4 linked regions of the Arabidopsis thaliana genome follow. The protein of the gene in region 3 interacts with the protein of the main gene of each other region in a pairwise test. Each region holds a gene or a part of one and is shown on either strand. Other genes may lie near its edges.

The links.
Region 1: the proteins of NTL9 (region 3) and DWF5 interact in a two-hybrid assay, tested with the Arabidopsis thaliana proteins (one large-scale study listed by BioGRID).
Region 2: the proteins of NTL9 (region 3) and AT5G07960 interact in a two-hybrid assay, tested with the Arabidopsis thaliana proteins (one large-scale study listed by BioGRID).
Region 4: the proteins of NTL9 (region 3) and ANTR2 interact in a two-hybrid assay, tested with the Arabidopsis thaliana proteins (one large-scale study listed by BioGRID).

What each region holds. Positions count from the first base shown.
Region 1 is NC_003070.9:18,681,276-18,687,246, forward strand, and holds DWF5 (Ergosterol biosynthesis ERG4/ERG24 family), read right to left. Parts: upstream 4,378-5,971; 5' UTR 4,281-4,377; coding exon 4,195-4,280; intron 3,903-4,194; coding exon 3,680-3,902; intron 3,612-3,679; coding exon 3,556-3,611; intron 3,448-3,555; coding exon 3,345-3,447; intron 3,240-3,344; coding exon 3,174-3,239; intron 2,776-3,173; coding exon 2,662-2,775; intron 2,532-2,661; coding exon 2,405-2,531; intron 2,176-2,404; coding exon 2,075-2,175; intron 1,689-2,074; coding exon 1,563-1,688; intron 1,454-1,562; coding exon 1,389-1,453; intron 1,313-1,388; coding exon 1,231-1,312; intron 1,142-1,230; coding exon 1,059-1,141; intron 967-1,058; coding exon 900-966; 3' UTR 657-899; downstream 1-656. Other genes in the region: AT1G50440 (RING/FYVE/PHD zinc finger superfamily protein), read left to right, coding at 4,824-5,037, 5,113-5,198, 5,301-5,447, 5,849-5,951. UniProt on the Arabidopsis thaliana protein: Production of cholesterol by reduction of C7-C8 double bond of 7-dehydrocholesterol (7-DHC). Lesions in the gene coding for the enzyme cause dwarfism.
Region 2 is NC_003076.8:2,540,395-2,544,359, forward strand, and holds AT5G07960 (asterix-like protein), read left to right. Parts: upstream 1-1,851; 5' UTR 1,852-1,955; coding exon 1,956-2,114; intron 2,115-2,516; coding exon 2,517-2,617; intron 2,618-2,795; coding exon 2,796-2,859; 3' UTR 2,860-3,252; downstream 3,253-3,965. Other genes in the region: AT5G07950 (uncharacterized protein), read right to left, coding at 136-187, 271-317, 398-619, 699-751, 845-1,010, 1,102-1,143, 1,230-1,314, 1,409-1,653; AT5G07970 (dentin sialophosphoprotein-like protein), read right to left, coding at 3,732-3,942.
Region 3 is NC_003075.7:16,887,905-16,892,825, forward strand, and holds NTL9 (NAC transcription factor-like 9), read right to left. Parts: upstream 2,898-4,921; 5' UTR 2,841-2,897; coding exon 2,675-2,840; intron 2,557-2,674; coding exon 2,048-2,556; intron 1,972-2,047; coding exon 1,624-1,971; intron 1,472-1,623; coding exon 1,196-1,471; intron 1,102-1,195; coding exon 982-1,101; intron 816-981; coding exon 630-815; 3' UTR 501-629; downstream 1-500. Other genes in the region: HMGB5 (high mobility group B5), read right to left, coding at 65-151, 234-280. UniProt on the Arabidopsis thaliana protein: Transcriptional activator activated by proteolytic cleavage through regulated intramembrane proteolysis (RIP). Calmodulin-regulated transcriptional repressor. Binds several synthetic promoters with randomly selected binding sites.
Region 4 is NC_003075.7:162,249-167,977, reverse strand, and holds ANTR2 (Major facilitator superfamily protein), read left to right. Parts: upstream 1-1,620; 5' UTR 1,621-1,866; coding exon 1,867-1,921; intron 1,922-2,083; coding exon 2,084-2,143; intron 2,144-2,223; coding exon 2,224-2,555; intron 2,556-2,637; coding exon 2,638-2,745; intron 2,746-2,848; coding exon 2,849-3,004; intron 3,005-3,095; coding exon 3,096-3,311; intron 3,312-3,405; coding exon 3,406-3,615; intron 3,616-3,713; coding exon 3,714-3,851; intron 3,852-4,038; coding exon 4,039-4,140; exon of another isoform or gene 4,141-4,389; coding exon 4,390-4,455; intron 4,456-4,537; coding exon 4,538-4,622; intron 4,623-4,727; coding exon 4,728-4,825; 3' UTR 4,826-5,081; downstream 5,082-5,729. Other genes in the region: FDM2 (XH/XS domain-containing protein), read right to left, coding at 1-19; CYP86A2 (cytochrome P450, family 86, subfamily A, polypeptide 2), read right to left, coding at 5,200-5,729. UniProt on the Arabidopsis thaliana protein: Inorganic phosphate and probable anion transporter. Ascorbate transporter bridging the chloroplast envelope. Transports ascorbate from the cytosol into the chloroplast.

The sequences.
Region 1 (5,971 bases), on a different chromosome or scaffold from region 3:
TTTTTCATCTTATCAATAGTAAAATAGTACTATAAAGTGAGAAAAATATGCATCCATAACAACACAGTAAAATTGTTTTAGTATGAAATTTGTTTAGCTTTGACTACAAATTAGAGAATGGTAAGTTTTTGTTATTAAAAACTTTGTAGTTAGATCTCATGATATCCAAACATAGAATCACAATTTTGCTGAAGGAGCTTGGTACGAAGACCGCCTCAGAAGTAAATGATGGTTCTGTTTTAGCAACTTTGGATGCTGCTACTCGGGTTGAGCTTCTGAGCTCCCCTTCTTATGTCTTTTTGTTTGAGCATTTGTCCTCGTAGCTTTTTGTGTATACTCTCCACGTGGAGGCAACTCTCGTTTAAAGTTGAATGAAATGTTAGTTTGACCAAAGAAAATAAAAAATAAAGAATCACAATTTTGTGAAAACTGTGTAATAGTAGTTTTGTGGATCCTCCAGAACACCAATTAAGTCTAAAAGTGAAGTCAACTTGATAATGTCGGTGAGTTCTTTGTGATTGAAAAACTGAAAGAACACTATCAATTCTTTGTGATTATTCATGTATTTTATAGGGTTCAAGTTCAATTAGTGCCTGTACTTATAAAAGACTTCATTTGATGTAGTTAAAATATTAGATGGATGAATCAACTTATTTGATGCATTAAGAAGCAGTATAATCAAAATATCAAATAATAAAATTAGAAAACGGCAGGCTAACTTTGATAATCTAGGGAAATACATAAGTGTAGCTAGAGATTTGAAAACCTATAGCATACAAATCAGCAAAAGAATGTCTATCGCATCAATTTGCATTTTTGTTTTGGCACGGTCTTTTGATGATTCCAACGTTCGAATTAACGTAATAAGTAGAAAATGAGAACAACAGACTTCGTTACAATCAATAAATTCCCGGAATGATCCTGTATTTGACTTTCTCACAATACAGCTTCCAATATTTCCCATACCTTTTTACCAAAACAAAACCCGAATATTGTCAGCAAATCAGAGTAAGATCAAAGAGGATGTGTAAAATAAATCATTTAGATTTGGTGCTTACTTTGATCGGCATCGGTCATCGTCTCTCTTGGCTCGATCAAAGAGAAGAAGGGTGAGAAATATGACGTAGAAGTATGCCAAGAACTGGTTTAAACAAAGATGATTTATATGTTAAGTGCGTTTAACTTGCAAGAAGAGCTTCGAATATAGCAAATAGATGGATAGTATTTTACGTTATCGAAGAGAGCCGGTACGGTCCAGAAGAAAGCACTTAAGATCTCAGGAACATAATGGAAATGACGAGCCAATCCCCACCTGCACATTCAAAGCCATTGATGATGAACAACGTCTACTTTTATGGTTGTAACTGTATAATGTAGAATAGTCTCACCATCCAGACGTTAAGAGAAGACTAGTTTTAGTTTCACCAGATGTTGTAGTATACGACGCCACAATCTGCAACAAACCGAGAGACCAAGAGAGATTCATACACATCAAAATGTTTAGGTCTGAAAAGGAATATAGCTAAGTTCACTAAGCTAGTTGGGGCTTATTATGATCACACCTTTGACGGGGCCCTTCCCCAAACCAAACATTTCCCGTTTGTCCTCCTGAACTCTTGCCTTTGTCTATCACAGTCATAGTTTATGTAAATGCACAGAATTCCTGCAACGAGAATGTATATTGCCAACTGCAACCAAAGACGGATATAGTGAAGTCTTAGGTACGGAGATAGGCATATATGTCCCGATGATCGTAGCATCAGTGGTGTTTTCATGAACAGCTTTCTTCTACTACTAGAAAAACTGATATCTGGCAACTACAATCATGAGCATAATATGCAACGAGCATTTGATCAACAATCTACACTTTACTCTCTCCCGTCTGTTTTGTAATGGAAGATACCAAGTAATTCAATAACAAGAGTTAAGTGCAATTCCTAGAAATTGGGATTTTCACATTTAGCTCAACCTTACTTGTTTTTTTTCGTATAAAAAAGTGGTATCCTAAAAGTTTCTCATTGGATTAACACACAAAGACGATTTCTCTCTTCTAGACAAATTCAAAATTATGCACCTGAGTTCCGAGTTCGACGGGGTGGTTCACAAGGTACATGCCTGGAGAAGTGTAGACAGAAGGCACCCACACTAGACAACCCCAGCATATATAGAATCCAGCTGAAGAATCATAAATTATAAAGCATTGAAAAGTAAGCTTAAGTTCATGTGTTAAAGCCAGTAACAATAATCTGAATAATATGCTGCTGCCTTAGCCATATAAACAGAACTGGCAAGGAAATTATAGCCAAACAGTAGAGAAACTTTTGTTATTACTACTGGCTTTCTTTCCTTGTACCCTATATGAGGATGTGATGATATAAATTTTATATATGTACCAGAAGCATACCTCGGTCATGTGCAATGTCCATGGTGTTCCAATAACCAGCTTCCCACCAGAAGAATTTTGTGACATACACCAGCATCAGGATGGTGTTCACCAGCATTGAATCAGATACTTTGCCATTTATTTCATACTGGTTAAAGAAAGTACAGGAATCACAAATCAGAAAGAGGTGAAGCTCTCTAATGAAATAAGGACTTAAAGAAACCACCAGACTATGTCGTCAGAGTGTAGTATTTACATAAGAATTATCCAGAAAATACCTGTTTTATGCAGTACGTGACTGCAAGAACTGCCCAAGACATCATTCCGAATCTGCAATTAGTAAACACCTTGATGTCAAAGCTCTTACCAATTCGAGGGTACAACTCCATGCCCTGCAAAGCACGACGCGAAAAACACAGTGAGAAAAAGATTGCCACAAATTGGATTGTGTTAATGATAAGTTGGAGCAAAAGAGTACATGGTGAGAGAAGATCTCAACTTGATATTGTTATAATAACTACTGGATACTTTGTTCTTTTCCTTCACCGACAGACATTCACACCAAACTAGTTCTCTTGTACTTAAATCAATAAAAAGATAAATACTGCTAAGAACATTTCCGTTTACAGGTCTACTAAAATTGGAAACTTTAGTGAAACTTGACCTCCAAATGTCGAGAAAAGAGGCAAAAATATTATGAGGAGATGGCTAGTAAGACCAGAGTTCCTCAAATAAATCCCAACAAGCAATTTCAAAAAGAATGAGAATCTGATCAGCAGAAATAACTCACCCAATAGAAGTCAATTATTAGGTTACCACATGAACCAGAGTCACTTGATGAAGGTGCAACATGGCCCTGTACAAGAAAAAAAAATAAGTTTTAGCAACACAAAAGGTCAAATTCTACAAAAATAGAGACTAAGAAAACAAAGAACACACCATTCATGCAATAGACACTTACTTTTATGTACAACAAAACACAAAATATGAAGCTTCCGAATATTAGTGCCGAAAATATTTCACCCAAGTGATCATAGACAATTGCAGGGTTGAAGATTCCAAACCTGAATAACGCACAGAAATGAACTCACATAGGTGCAACACTTAATCCAAGCTTAAGATACGTAAACAATAACTTAAACCAAACCAAAGTCATCGGAAACATTTCTTACCACCAAAGACCAAGATAGGTTGCTAGTGTCACAAAGTAAGCAGCCAGACCATTGGCCTGCAAGAAAAGAACCGTACAGTTGTCATCTGCATCAACTTCCACCACACAAGACTAAATGAACATACCTTGTAAACTGGTCGGTTTCCGGCTGGAGATATTGGACCCTCAACTCTTTTACCAGGCAGAAGCAGCTGAAGAATAGCTTCAAATGCTCCATAGCAAAATATAATTTTCCAAGCAATCAAAGTGGGTCTTGGCCATATGTTGATAAGTCCTTGAACTCCATTCTCCCAAAAGAAGCCAAAGGTCTGAGTAACAGAACCATCCTGATGAACCATTGTGTACCATCTGCATCATAAAGAAATGAAACTTGTGAGCATTACTTAAAACTCACTAAATATGATTTTGTAGCTTTAAATCTACCCTTGTTTCCTAAAAATCTGGAAACTCACATTGGCCAGAGAAAGAATCATTGAATCGCTTTTTCAATTAAAGACTCTTATCAAGTCCTACTTAATGGGAAAGGATTTAAAGATATCGGCTATGCACTTCTCGCTATGAATTAAGGAGCCAGAAAAGTGTGCGAGTCTGATCTGAGAACTAGAATAAAGACTTGCGAATCAGAAATTGATGAGCTTACAGGAGAATGACGAAAGGTGGACAGAAGGCGAGAAGCGATAACATCGATGCGTAAGTAACGATCGGAGAATGTACAGTCTCCGCCATTTTCTTCTTCTGCTTCTCTCGTCTCGGCCAAAGCCTCAGATTCTGATCTGTGTTGACTAATCAACAGAGTCTGCGAAGTTAACGATGAAGACGATGAACTTCACAGGTCTACTGTGAAACTCAGATAAATCCCACGTGTCACGTGCTCTCCACATGTTTTTTCTAATTCCAATTTTACCCTTGAGACTTTTCTTCGCCATCGTTTTTGATTGATCCCAATCTTCTTAGCTTCTTCTCTCTCAACCCTCAAAAGATCTTCGTCATCTCTGTATTCAACACATAGTGATGAATCGAGACTAACAAAATCAAATTCTCTTCACTCTGATTCGCAGTCATAGTTTACCAATTTCTTCTAACTCGCAAGCAATGGCTTGCCTTGGAAGAAAATTCTCCAGAATTGGTTGAATTCGTGTAAGTATCGATTTTTTCTAATGTTTTTGGTAACTCCCGGCGAAACCTAGATCTAGTTTTCTGATGCTGTGTTGAATTCTTTTGCGTTTCTCAGTTTTTTTTCATTTCCAGAAATTTTAGTATGTTTAAGAGATGCAATTAGTGCCTAGTGATGATGATGATGATAGAAAGGAACAGATTTTATTCGACGAATCAACATCCTCAAACGAAATCGTAGCAGCGGAAAGAGGAGATCGTGTTGTGGAGGAAGGACAAGTTTCAGAAATAGCTGAGACTGATGATGACGAAACCACACTTCTTGTTTCTGGAGATCAACCACAATGTCGAATTTGCCTTGATGTTGGAGGTATAATAAAAGCAATTCCTTAACTCAATTGAGTGAGGATACAATGAGACGACTTGGTTTGTTCTTTGATTGCAGGGGAAGATCTGATTGCTCCGTGCAATTGTAAAGGTACTCAAAAGCACGTTCACAGATCTTGTCTCGATAATTGGCGCTCCACCAAGGTATATTATCGTCACCGTTTCCAGAAAGTTTCTTCTTCTTTTGAATGAATGGTTTACTTAGCTTATGAAGTGTATTTTGTTTCTATGCAATATATGTTTCAGGAAGGTTTTGCATTTTCGCATTGTACAGAGTGTAGAGCCTTTTTCAAACTCCGAGCCAATGTGCCTGCTGATAGATGGTGGTTGAGATTGAGATTTCAGCTGCTGGTTGCTAGAGATCATGCCTTCATCTTCATTTCTGTCCAGATGGTACATGACTTGTTTCCTTTTTTTGATTTTAGTGTTTAATACACTTTCTTCTTCTATGATGTTACTAGCTTCTTGACTCCCAATCTCCCATTTTATGACCAAATTCGTTGTTTCCTAGCTATAAAATTGGTCATATAGCTAAGGATTTGCATTCTCATGATTGAGTTTAGTGTTTATAGACTTTCTTCTATAATGTTACTATATACTAGAATTCAATCATGAGAATGCAAATCCTTAGCTATAATTGCCACATAGCAGTTTATGACCAAACTATTGGTTTCTTATCGCATTTGAACACCGAAACAGGAGATCCCTTGTATGAATTCGGATTGGATGATACATTTGATGCTCTTAGTGAATGCATTTATATACTAATGAACAAAGGCTTCTCGTATCAACAGATTGTAGCATTCTTGGGGTTACTAGTTTACAAGTTCTACGGTGAAGAACTACGAGAAATGTTTGGTTATGAGGAACATCCTTATGGGTTCTACACATTGGCTGGTACAACTATTTTTGTTTTC
Region 2 (3,965 bases), on a different chromosome or scaffold from region 3:
TTTGTTTACACAGCTACGGTTCTAACCACCTCTCTCTCTCTCAAGTCCTTGAGTACTTTTGTAGAATCAGTTGTGCTTTGTATAAAAGTCACTGAAACTTAACCAGAAGCTGAACTTGTGAACACCTTTCGAGATTTAGAAGGTGACTCTAATTTCTTCCCCAACCAAAGCTAATATCTCATCCACCCTGTAACAAATACGCAACACCAGGTTAATCAGAATACACTTTGTTCCCAGAATTCGGGAATGACGATGGTGAAAATATTTTACCTATGAGTGTCGATGTTTACTTCTGCAAGCCAAGTTGTCAAGTAAATCTGTGGAACGAGAAGAATTGAAGTTTTACGATATAATGCTAACAGACAATTTTACTTGTGCGGAATCAAAATCCACATACCTGCAAAATTTCTGCGGTTGGCTGGTTGGTATGTGATATAGAAGAACTACCGATATTATAATCTTTCACTCTGGGGAGAACTGGCTTAGCTACTTCCATAGAATATAAAGAACATTTGGTGAGATGATCAAATTCTCCATGGTAAAGCTCATCTGACCAACTGTTGTTGATGGGTTGAGGAACTTCAGTGCTTAAAGAGATCAGTTCCATTATGAGCAATCTCTGTTAATTTCCCCGAAAAAAAAGATCAGAAGCTGATCTAGAGTTTAAGATACATGCAGGAGTTAGGAGTAGACAATACCTTTAGCATTACTTCGCGTTTGAACATCTCCACAAGCTCCTCAGCCATCTTCTCTGGGATCATTTCAACATGGCAAGTACCAAACTTTAGAGACAACATGGTAAGTAGTTAATAACTATTGAACATTGGTTTTATGGGTCTCTTACCAAATGCAGAGACATTCCAAAAATTAAACACAGGAATGCCACCGCAATCTCCAGCATCATTTGAATCTTCCTTAGTGCCAGAGAACTGTATAAGTGACCCGGTACTCAGCTTCGTGTAACATCTCAGAGATCTGCTTGCATTTACCATCTCAACAACAACAGCTACCTGCATTTTTCTACAGTTTTGTTTATAGATTCCAAATTACACCAGAATAAAATTTCTCAAATTCACAAGATTTTAGCATTGTCACACTTACCATTTCCTTGTACGAAGATAAAAGCTTGATTCGATAGGAACTCTGAACATAATAAGACTTAATATGAGAATTAAAAACAGAGAGAATGAATAGAAGACAAAAAATAGATTTGAAATGCAAATTTTCACCTGTTGCGTAAACAGCTTCTTCAAAGCTTTCTTGTCGATATCAAACATGTCACTCAACACACCAAGCTCCATCATTGGCATATACCTATTGCCATGGAAACACAAAAGCAGTAAGAATCACCAGGGACATCAAAGTGAAACAGAGTAAGTTGCAAATACAAATTAAGAAAATTCCACACTTTTGTGACAGATACGAATTGACTAGCAAAGTAGCGTGAGATCTTCCCGCAGAACAAGCGACGATCCACTGTTGCCGACAATTCGACAGGTTAGACCACTGGTTCCTAAGATTCCGCTGAGCAGCTGGTCTCCATAGCCTCATCGATGACGAAAAACTCCCCGGAGATGGAGATGAAGAAGCCAGCGATCGCGAAGAAGACGCCGGAGATGGAGAAGCAGGCGGCGGAAACTGCGAGATGCTCATCGAATACAAAACGAGTTTTTTGAGCTTGAGTCACACTCCTAAACTCTGTTACGTCGCCGGGAATTGAACGGCCGGCGATAGTTTGTTTTCTATTTCCACCCAGCTTAGGGCTTTATGAAGAAATACGAAAAGGTTACAATTGTAATTTTCATAAACTTCTGAACTTGTTTAAATTAATTTTAATTGTAATTAGCAATTATGTCTATATAATAGATCAATAGAATCTCTAAGAAGAATTACAGTAGATCAGATATATATTTACCAATCGGAGCTTCAGAGAGATCCAAAGAGAGAGATTGAGGATGTCTCACAGTCACGGGAACGCTTCGTCGGTGAACGATCCACGGCAGCCTTCGGCGGCAAAGCCTTACATTCCACGGCCTGTAGCGCCGGAGGATCTTCCCGTTGACTACTCCGGATTCATCGCCGTTATCCTCGGCGTCTCCGGCGTTATGTTCAGGGTAAATTTTCATTTCTCCTCTTCTGATCGTTGCTCTGTTAGAAATCAATTCAGTCGTAGAAACTAGTACTCCGGTTGGTGACTTAGATCGTCGGATTTTATAAGTTGAACTCACCGATTTAGCAACATCAATCTCTAGCTAGTTCGTGATGTTTTGAGACTGGATCTTTCCAATACTCGCTAGTGATTTTGAATGTTGAATTGATTTAAAGCTTACTTCCCCAAATAGGCAGATTCATGACTGTGTGATTGCATCATATTATAAGACTAGAGAAAATGTTAGATCTTGTTGAAATTTGAGCTCGAGAGATTGAGATAGTCAGTGTGAAAGTGGATTAAAAGATCATCATATGTGGAGTGAGAAATTCATCCTCTTTATTTATGTGGCTTGTGTATCTCTCAGTACAAGATATGCTCGTGGCTTGCAATTATATTCTGTGCACAATCTCTGGCCAACATGAGGAACTTGGAAAATGATTTAAAGCAGATCTCCATGGCTATGATGTATGTTCCTTTTCACTCATTCTTTCTTCTTATTTTTAAGTTAAGAGTGCCAAAAGCATTGAATAGTGAAATGAACCTCTCTATTCCTGTTAAAATCCAACATGGATCAGATTTAAGCTGATTGTTTCTACTCAATAAATTGTTGACTCTGAATCTGGTTTTCTTGTATTAAAAACAGGTTTGCTATAATGGGATTGGTTACAAACTACTTAGGGCCTAACAGACCCGCGACAAAGAAATAATCCTCATGTCTTAAGAGTAGTATGCTTTTTTTTGATAAACCTTGTATGGCTCTTGTTTCCGCACCAGAGATTGCTAGTGGTTTGTCTTTGTGTTTTCGACTCTCTAATCCTTGAGTAGCAAACTAGAACCTTGAGCTCTTGCTCATTTGTGGAGTTCAAAGACTTTTCAGTCCAGATGCAAAAAATGTGAAATCCGACTTTTTCTCTTTTGATCTCCCTGATTTTTGGACCCTGCTTCTTACAACACTGTTACGCGGACTAACATCAAAAACACTCCTCAAACCAAACAAACTCCTCAATCATTGTCACTAGTTCGAATGTCTCTAGTTTCTTGTTTCAATCTTTTATATGAAACTAATCAAGAACAAGAGATTTCATGTTGGCTTATGTTTTTAACTTCCTTATCAAATATTTAAATCTTCTTTGCGGAATAATACATATGGAATAATGATGTCGACTTGGCTTCCGGAGGTAAAATATTGACACTCATTAAATTAGAGACCTTGTAATACTCTGAAGCAAAGGAAGTTAAGTTTCAATGACTGATTCTAAACAGCACTCAACGACTTGATAGAGAGAGTTCTTCAGAATCTTCGCTGAGTAAAAACAAAATTAGATTCACTGGAGTTGTTACCTTGTGGAATTTCTGTTATGGGGCAAATTCTTTACTAAGTATACAAATGGATTTGACATCCAATATTCGTGATTAAGCATACAGTAATGCTACATGTCTACTACGAAATCTCCGGCCTTCTGACGATGGAGGCCTTCACTGTTCTCAGAAGTCCGACCAACTAACTCTTACCCACCCATAAACACAAACATTTTCGGGAGGATTGGCCAAAAAGTTAATTATATGGATCTATCAATAGTTAGAAAGAGAGACATTGTACCCTATCTGGAATATGCCGAGGCACTGGAGCTACGGTAACATATCTCTGTGGGTTTAACCTAAGTGAACTCACGGACCGGTCCATAGATGAGGACGATTGGTGGAAACTTGCAAAACGATTGATCACTGCAAACCTCTCTAGATCCTGGACTTCGACTCTCAAGTCTGTAATTGTAGTTCCTTTTTCTAGTCTGCAAGAAGAACCAGATTTTCA
Region 3 (4,921 bases):
ATTAATTACTGTAATCAAATTAGTGAAGAAAAAAGAAGAAGAGAGATTAGTGATTTTTATTTACAGGAAGACGAAGAAAGGACTTGGTGGTTTCTTAGGCCTGTTTGGATCCTTTGTTTTCTTTCCAACTTTGTTCCCTCTAACTTTCAATCTGAGAATCATAAAAGACGATTTCAAAACTACGGAAACAAATTGAATCTAAGAATCGAGATTACGGATAAATATAAAGATACCTATCATCAGTGCTCCTCGATTCAACTTCCGTTTGGTTATCTTTCATCTCGAGATCTGTCACAGAGAGGAACAAAAGTGAGAATCCGGTGGGGAAAAATAGCTGACTCGGAGTTGACTCAGATGAGGCGGCGAGTAGGAGCGAGCTTACCTCTGTGTGAACACGTTTAGGTTATTTCTTTTTTTGAATTGGGGAGAGACGACGATTGAGATAATTCTTTGATGCGGTGTTAATTTAAGATGTTGGTATTTTTAATCTTGACCGTAGATAATTAAGATGTTGGTACATTTAATCTTGACCATCCGTGTAAATTCAACAGTAACTTTTATCAGATTCCTAAATAAGTTTTTAAGTTACAACACACAAACATGCTAACATTGCATCATCCCTAATTACATTAAACTACATTTGATTCTCTCTCTCTCTCTCTTTGTGTCTCATGTGTCATGAACTCACCAGTGTCCTCCATATACCCATCCCTACCCCAACCATCACAGCCACCATTACCGTTGCAACCACCTTCCATCGCTTCCCTCCTCGTCTCTTTCTGCTCTGCACCTGTACCTGTAACCACAACAAACTTCTCTTTAGACAAAGATACTTCTCAGTTTCTTTTATCATTACTAGCTGATCTCACATGCTCTACTGATTGCTTTCTCTTTTTTTTCTTTCTAATTCTATAGTATTTAGTAGAGCTTACTACTATACTCTTTCTTCATTCATGTGTAAACAAGTTCACTCATTCTTACCTCGTCGTCTGCAAATCTCTCTCCTTTTACTTGGCCTATAGTTCCCCGCGCCCTGAGCTTTATTTGAGGTTTAACCAAAGAACCACTCTTCTCTGAGTATTTAGCTGCAGCTTCTTTGGCCTGCACATCCCCACCATTAACAACAAATTAAAAAGATGCATCCTTTATGTTATTGATGTCTAAGACACAACTTTTGGAATCACTAGTCTCGTACCTCGGGAATAACAGTGTGTCCTTCATTCACCTCCTCTCGTTCTTTTACTTCAGAGTTAGACTGCAGCTGCAGACGGATTCTCCTTGGAGCAATACCCTGGTTTATCAATCCTGTACTCTGCCGGTTCTGAGGCTGTCGAGCCCGGATCTTTATCCCTCTCCCTTCTGTGAGGTTGTTCTCTGTGTTATGATTGATCATTTGCTCTTGCTGAACCAAATCACTATAGTATGAATTAGTGTCACTTGGCCAACCAGAAGCTCCACCTTCTGAACCATACTGATCAAACAAAAGATAAAAATTGTCATTTTACTTATGTCAAGAGTGATTGTAAAGATAACTGATCTAGAGGTTTCTAGCCTACTTAAAGCAAAATAATTTGGATACTTCTAAAATTGTATAGGCCTCAAAATATGTATCTTTGTGCTCACCTGCAATTGCGCCATCTCAGCATCTGTATCAGTGAAAGCCATGAAGTCGTTGAAGAAAGCATCCTCTGGTGCTGCAGACTGCAGCATTTTAGCAGATGAAAATATCCCATTTGGTGAGACTGCTGGATTCTCTCGACTGATCGATTCCTCGCAAGAGAAGTCATCAGGGTTATTGAACACCTCCTCCAACAATTCTGTTAGTGATACATCTGGTTCGCTGGTACCATCTTGAAATTGGAATCCAATCTCATCGTAACTGAAATCACCAGCATATATAGAATCCATACACGGTAGTGGTGCCTTTTGATCTTCAAGGTCACAAGATAACCAAAGATTCTCTTCAGGTGCCTATGAACACAAAACTCAAAATTAGTCAAGTCACTCAAAAAAGCCTAATTAATTATTCAAGAGTTTCCATTCATACCTCAATCATTGTCCCATCTGCGGTACTATTACTATGAGCATAACCGCATCCACCTGAATAATCTGATGGTTTCTCAACAGCAGCATCAGAGGAAGGTGTTTCTTGAACAAGATCAGATGATGTATCATCAGGTGAGTATTTGTTGCTGGCCGTAAAAGCTGCTTCATCGGACTTGACACCATTAACCCGATCATCAGGCTTGTGGAAGAGGCGACAAAGAACGTAAGGGCTTTGGCCAGGGGAAGTGCCATCAAGATCCTTAAGAGTGGGACGATACTCGTGCATAATCCAATTAGTCCGCTCACCTTTAGGAGCTCGTCCACGATAGAAGACAAGAGTCTTCTTCATACCGATTAAAGTCTTCTTAGACTTGATGCTACGATCTTTACCAGTAGCTTTCCAATAGCCAGAGTCAGTTGCTCTGTTAGAGCGATGACCATTAGGGTATTTCCGATCACGAGGGCAGAAAAAGAACCACTCTGGATCATCCGTCTTAATCACCGAGAGAGCTGCCGACAATCAGATTTGTTTCCAATTGAGTAAAGAAAAAAAAGGTGGAATCTTTGAGAGGGAAAACAGAATCTGAGAATAAAAGGAATCAAATTTTGAGAGAATAAAGAGACGAACCAGGAAGATCCCAAGGTTCCCATTTGCAGACATCGATATCAGGGATGACACGGACATCGGAGTGACGTCCGTTGATCTTGAGACGGAGGTAGTGATTGACGAGCTCTTCATCGGTAGGTCTGAATCTGAAACCTAAAGGAAGCGACTCCATCGATACAGCACCCATAATCCTCTTCTTTAGGGTTTCTTTCCGACTTTGAATACACTCTCTGCTTTTTTTTCTGCTTTCTAAAAAGTCTTCAACACTTTGCTTTCTCTCATCTTCTTTTTTTTTTCCCTCTTTTTTTTTAACCTTTCTTTAGACCACGTGAGAAAGATAACTTCCACTTTAAACACTTGTCCTCTTCTGTCTTATTGTCTTGTCTTGTCTTTTCTTGATAGGCTTCCATTATTGTGGCTAGGGCCCAAAAAGGCCTTAAAGCCCAAAGCTTCGTGGTTTTTCTTCTCTTGTGGTTTAGGCTTTACAGTGATCAGAGAAACCCAAAACACGTTGGAAACGTCTAAGCAGAGAAAAACAGAGCTTCCAACAAATTCAGCATTGTAATTCTTCTAGACGTTTTATACAAATTTTACATATACACTATGGAACTCTCCTTGCATTTCTACCAAATCTGAATTGAAAAAGGGATTTGTAAGATATGAAAATGCGATAACGTTGCCTAGATTAATCAGTTTTCGACATTTTTTTTTTCCTGTTCCGATTCCATGTAACTTTTTGAGGGCCACAACTTTTCTTAATTAAAAAAATAAGAAAAATAAAAGCTCAAGTGACAATCAGTTTTTGAAAATGATACTAACTAAGCTCTTAACATTTTTACGCATGTATATAAACATTAATCTTTTATTTGGTCTTAAATACAAAGCATATATATGATGCTATCAATCTAAATGGTCTATTTGTACATAATTAAATAAAACATAAAATTAAAGCCTGCGCATACAACATGTCTACAACCAAAAACTTCTTTCGTTTATATCAAAATCAACATCCCAATACTTCATCTTCTCTTCTCTTCTATTTGGCACTTATAGACGCGAAAGGTTTGAACCGGCGGGAAAGTAAGACACCATAATCGGAGCTCTCGGGGATTTGCTTTTTGGTTTCTTTGAGGACAGGACTTTCAAGTCACTCTCATCAGTTGAGCTAATCTTTGAGTCTGATTTTGGAACAAAGCAATCAAAGACGGAGGCAAAGAGAGAACACATGATCATAGGAGTTTGAAAAACGTGTTTGGAGTCTATATACGATGAATGATATGATTAAGATTTGATCTCAGGTAATTACGTGAACGATATGTATTTATAAGACAACCCATCTTTATAAATTCTTGGACACGTTTCTAGGAAATGACCACTAAATCTTGCTGGCCAAGCTTTGCCCTATTCTTAATTGTTTTCTCTTTTGACAACACTTGGGCACCTTTTTTGACTCTTTGGGCCTAATTGGACCAACTATTGATACCAAACATACGTTAACATCACCTCCATATCACTCACCCAATCAAGTTTTCCAAAATGTTATGATTAAAATTAGGGTCTTCATGTCACTATCCAACAAAAGTTTTCCAAAATTCAACATTAAAATTAGGGGAAATATGTACGAAATAGAACTTATATATCCATGTTAAGAAGAAAAAAAACTATATATCCAAGCAATACAAAATATTTAGGTTCTACACTCCATTTTATACAAAATATTAATTGTTTTCGATTAGAGTTTTATTAGAAAGTTCTCACTCAGATAAAATCAAAACTAGTACTCTGTATTTTTATATAGAGAAAAATCCTTGTAAGTTAATGTTACTAATACTACCCAAGTACCCAGAGTATTTTGACACATTCTATTGACTTTTGATTGAAACATGTCCGGCTTAATTTAACGCAATTATTCAGTTTAGATTTTGAACACCTTAAATGAATTGGCTTTTAACAGATCATAATATCAATACCAGTTTTAGTCCTTGAGAACTCAGCCCATGACTTAAAATATGAAAACTTCAGCCCATGACTTAATAAATGAACAAAGAGAACCCAAAAACAGAAAATGAATCATGGACATATTTACATATATCATAATCTGACCAAATTGGAAATTATGCTCAAATGCTTAATATTCCTCTGATTCATTTACCAAATTCAACCTCTGTAGAATCATTCTAAACAAAATTCAATTACCACTTTTCAGACATGCGTCGCGCGTGTGAGTGTTTAGCTACATGGGCTTGGTTCGGTGCAACCCGCTTCCCA
Region 4 (5,729 bases), about 17 Mb from region 3:
CTTCATCAGAAATGTCCATCGTACCTGCTTTACCTGGAGAAAAAGAATGTTACAAAAACAGAGAAGAAGAACAAAATAAGGCCCAAAAGAGACTCAATTTCTAGGCAATCCCACGAGCAAGAGAAACCCTAGGCAACAACTTAACAAACAAAACAAAATTGACACTGGATAAAGCAAAAGAGACGAAAGTGATACAGCATTTACAAAATTGAGCTAAGAGAGTGACGCATGCATGATAAGGAACCTAGCGAAATCAAAAATATATTTTTAAGTAACAAGTGAGTAAAGGCGTTAAATCACGAAATGCATAGGGGAATCGAAAAAATTCATTAAACGAGAGATTTCACTGTGAAAACAGAGAATAGAAGAAATCTGGAGCTTACGCTAGAGAGGGAAGGAAAAGGAACAACACGGCGATGACTCAACGCTTGATGAAGAGTGGAGTAGAGAGAGAGTGAGTGAGGAAGATGAAGAGTTATTTTATTTTGGAAAATATATCAGAAAAATTAGAGGGTGATTTGCAAGAATAACACATTTTTATACAAGAATTAAGAATATAGCACTATTAATTAACAAAGTAATTTAAAAATAGATAAAAGAGAAATTTTCACAAATAGCATAATTTTAAGTTTTTTTGACAAAACCTATTTTATACTATAGTTTTTTGACAAAATTTTAAGTTTTTTTTTGGACAAAATTGATGAATAAAACCTATGATCCAAATTGTGAATGATTTATACTATAAGCAATATAGTGGCCACAAAATTGGTCAAGAATTTTTAGTGGCTTTATCAAATAGCCACTGACTGGAGATTTTTTTTTAAAAAATATGTGTCTGGTCAAAGTATGTAATTATATATCTATGTGTAAAATTGTATCATAAAACATTAAGGTTTCCAGGATTATTTTTCTTCTCAAAATTTAATATAGTGACTTTGTTTTACTCTAAGAGCTTATAGTCACCAAAGTTGTTATATATATTAATATATGTCTCATTTTTTTTTTTTATAAAAAGAATCAATTATGAGAAAGCCACTTTTGAAAGTGACATTTGTTGATTTTGCAATTTTCCATATAGTTTGTGAATTTGCCATTTTTAGTTAATAATAGATACCAGTTAATACGTGGATATAGTCGGTTAGATTTGTTTTTAAAATTTAGTATTTGGTTTAAAGTACATATTTTGCAAAAACATTTTATATATACATACAGTTTTAAGTGTTCAAAATGACAAATCCTCAAGATTTTAGTAAAAACTAATGACATTGTTGTACAATTTTAGTGCTTAATTTTAGTATTTTAGTTATTTTATGGGCTGCACTTTAGCAATAAATGTCTCTTTGTTTTCACTTTTCAGCAGTTGGAACTTTGAACAAATGGAAACAAAAAAATGTAGAAGACAATTTTATTTTTAAGCCCATCAAAAATACAAATGAGATTGTAAGCCCAATATATTAACCAACCTACCTTTTTCTTTTGTCAGCTCTCTCTATTTCTCTAAAGGTGACGTCATCTTCGGCGGTAACGGCTCAGATATTTTCCACAATAACTTCCAATAATACCCCTGCCATTAACCAATAGTACCCATGTTTCCTCTTTGCAACGTGGGGGTAGATTCATGAAATGAGAACAGAACGGAGGTTCCAACGAGTAGAAGATGATGTGCCACGTGTCACTATATCGACCCCCCTTTCCTCTTCCTTCCTTCCCCAATAGAGAGGGATTTTCCCGCTTCAGCGTCTCTCAGTCTCTCTCTCGGCTTTATCCAAAGGTTCCTTCGTTTACTCCGCTTCTATGGAAGAAGCTTGAATCCTTCTCTCTTCTTCTTCTCCTTCTTCCCTTGACATTTTTGTTCTGAGAAGCAACATGGCCCTCGGTGGCTTGATTTCAAATCGGAACTTCGGTTCCTTCATCGGCTCAGGTATATCTATCCCCCTCCTCTTTTTGAATCTGTTAGGGCTTTTTAGTTGTTTATCGGATTATGTTAGTGATTAGGCTTGAGCGTAGCTTGCTTCTGTGTAGCGAACGATATCACTAATGTGTGCATTGCTTCCAAATTTGCTAAGATTGCTTTACTTTGTAGGCAATGGTTGTCAGAGACTTGGAAAAAGTGGTGCAGAGGTTTCCAAGCTTTTTCCAAATGGTATATATCGGTATCTTTTATACCTCTCTACCTAGCTATATTATGCAATTTGTGCTTAAGCATTTTCTTAATCTTTGTAGCATTGTTGTGCCGTAATCATCAACCTCTGCAAGCTAGTTTACATCATGAATCGGGACACATGAGAAGAAGTTTTGGATGTTTCCTTCAACCAAGAATGGACAGTGTAATTAGGTTTAGGAACAGTATCAAGATCAACAGATCTCGTGCTTACTACAAATCAGAGGAGTCAGATATCACGGAAGGAGTTGTGCCATCGGCTGATGGCTCAGCTGAAGCTATTTTAGTTGAAGGAAATCTACAGAACGCATCTCCATGGTGGCAGCAGTTTCCTAGACGCTGGGTGATCGTCTTGTTATGCTTTTCGTCTTTTCTTCTTTGCAATATGGACCGTGTAAGTTGTATATCTTGCTTATTTTCTCTACTTATCTGAAGAAGTAAGATATATATTACTTAATGAGAGATGCTTGTGGCAGGTGAACATGAGCATTGCAATTCTTCCCATGTCACAAGAATATAACTGGAGTAGTGCAACTGTTGGCTTAATTCAGTCCTCTTTCTTCTGGGGCTATTTACTTACTCAGGTCAGGTCTAATACTATCACTCTCTGTAGAATCTGATCTTTTATAGAACTCGAAAGAGAGGGTATATTTATTCTAACTTTAGCTCATCTTCTCTTGGACATAGATTCTGGGAGGTATATGGGCAGATAAGTTTGGCGGGAAGGTTGTTTTAGGTTTTGGTGTTGTCTGGTGGTCCTTTGCCACTATTATGACACCTATTGCTGCTAGACTTGGTCTTCCTTTTTTGCTTGTAGTGCGGGCGTTCATGGGCATTGGCGAGGTTGGCCTCTTCTGTTCTTCTTTTCTCTTGCTATACTTGTCTCAGACCTGTACAACTTCTCACTAGCTGGTTCTGTCTACCTTTGCTTCAGGGTGTTGCAATGCCTGCTATGAACAACATGCTTTCTAAATGGATCCCTGTCTCAGAGAGAAGCAGATCGCTTGCACTGGTCTATAGTGGCATGTATCTTGGTTCCGTCACAGGATTGGCATTCTCTCCTATGCTAATCACCAAGTTCGGATGGCCATCTGTTTTCTACTCGTTTGGCTCCCTCGGAAGTATATGGTTTTTGCTATGGCTAAAATTTGTATGAACTCCTCTTCATGACATAAGCTAAATATCTGAGATCTACAAAACCTCCAAGAGATTTATATTTTAAACACCTTTTTAATTCTTCTCAGGCATATAGCTCTCCCAAGGATGACCCGGACCTAAGTGAAGAAGAAAAAAAGGTTATACTGGGAGGTAGCAAACCAAGGGAACCTGTTACAGTGATTCCATGGAAGCTAATACTGTCTAAACCCCCAGTCTGGGCTCTCATAATTTCCCACTTCTGCCATAATTGGGGAACTTTCATACTATTGACATGGATGCCCACATATTACAATCAGGCACGGAGTTCAGCTTCAGTTATATCCTTACTGTTTAATATTTTTTGTGAACAAGTAAAGAGACTCCTCTCTATTGTTGGTCTTTGATCACGCTGCAGGTCTTGAAGTTCAACCTCACTGAATCCGGGCTACTATGCGTTTTGCCATGGCTAACCATGGCTGTTTTTGCTAATATTGGAGGTTGGATTGCTGATACTCTTGTGAGCAGAGGTCTTTCAATTACAAACGTTCGAAAGGCAAGAAATACACTCTTTCACTTTCTGATCATTTACATGTCTCTACTACCTCAAAAGGCCAAACTTGTTATGCTGCTTTCAGTTAAAGGAGTGACAACAAACCCTTTATACCAATAAACTACTCTCATGAATCTATTATGGCTACTCCAAAGGATACTCACGACTAATAAACTCTTGATTATTGCAGATTATGCAATCAATTGGTTTTCTAGGCCCTGCCTTCTTCCTGAGTCAGCTGAGCCATGTCAAAACTCCAGCAATGGCAGTTCTCTGCATGGCATGCAGTCAGGTATTGGTGTCAATAGATCATATGATTGAAAGAGCCATAGAATTATGGATAAGTTTGGAACTGTTAAAAACATGTTTGCCGTTTTTTATTTCACACCTGCCGACACAAGATTATTCTTGTGAGAGTACAACTATAATTGAACCCCAACTTAAATGCAATGTCGGCTACAAAAAGAAACAGTTGTCACCCTTAGAAAAATTCATGAGTTGTGTACAGCTCTGACATAAAGACTCATGTTGTCCCCAACAGGGCTCTGATGCATTCTCTCAGTCGGGTCTCTACTCTAATCATCAAGACATTGGCCCACGATACGCTGTGAGATAAACATCAATTCTTTCTCTTTTATTACTTTGTCACCAAACTTGTTCCACTTCATTAACTATGGCTTGGCTCGCAGGGTGTACTCTTAGGACTATCAAACACAGCAGGAGTCCTAGCTGGTGTCTTTGGCACTGCAGCTACTGGTTACATCCTCCAACGAGGTATCTTCTATCTTTATTCACATTCTTGCCAACCATAAGGTGGACAAATTATAGTACTTCCGACTATTATTAACCATGTTGTTTGGTTTTTACCTAAACATTTAGGTTCATGGGATGATGTGTTCAAAGTAGCAGTTGCACTGTATCTAATTGGAACTCTGGTCTGGAACTTGTTCGCAACCGGAGAAAAAATTCTCGACTAGAACCAAGAAACTAATAGCTGCAGTGAAATTGTGTGAGGAAGCTTTATATTTGTTCTTTCTCTGCTTATAAATTTGATCTGATAGTGAGATCAAAATGGTTCGCTGGTCTGTTTCATAAAGTAACATGTTAAAGAAAAGATGTATTTTTTTGGAACTTGACTCTTTTGAAGCTTACAATTTGATGGGGATGGAGAAAAAGAAACCAAAACAAAAACAATCAAACTTTTTTACTTTAGGAAGAAGAGTATTTGCTTACAAAGTTTACATAGCACAACGAAATCATTTTTTTTACTGTTTTACACAACAATCACAAAACCCAAAGGTAAATGTATGTATTAATTACTATAAAAATGTTATCAACCCGAGAAGCTGCATTACACGGCAACCGCCACAGCCGCATTAACGGCGACGCCTTCACCGATACCGCCGTTGCATTTTCCGTTAAGAACAACGACGTCGTTTCTCTCTTTGGGTACGAGACTCTTCATCATCACTTCCAAATCCCTCTTGTGCACGTTGACCAAAAGTCCGTTCTTCATGAACAAAGTCAACGACATCTTCTGCTCCACCTTGTGTCCCGGCGCCACCGTTAGTCTATGCCTGAGTAAAACCGCCGCCGCGATCGTCTTCATCTGCAGATACGCTAGATCTTTTCCTAGACAGATCCTAGGTCCGGCGTTAAACGCCACGAATCGGTACTGATCGTGATTCACGAATTTTCCATCGTCCGGCGAGATCCACCTCTCCGGTTTGAATTCCAAGCAATCCTCTCCCCACGTGCTCTTCATCCTCCCCGCCGCGTAGATCGAATAAGTCACCGACGATCCCGCCGGTACGAAAGTTCCGTCCGGTAAGATATCGTCGTTCACGACGTGCTTTGAATCTTCCGGCACCGACGGGTAAA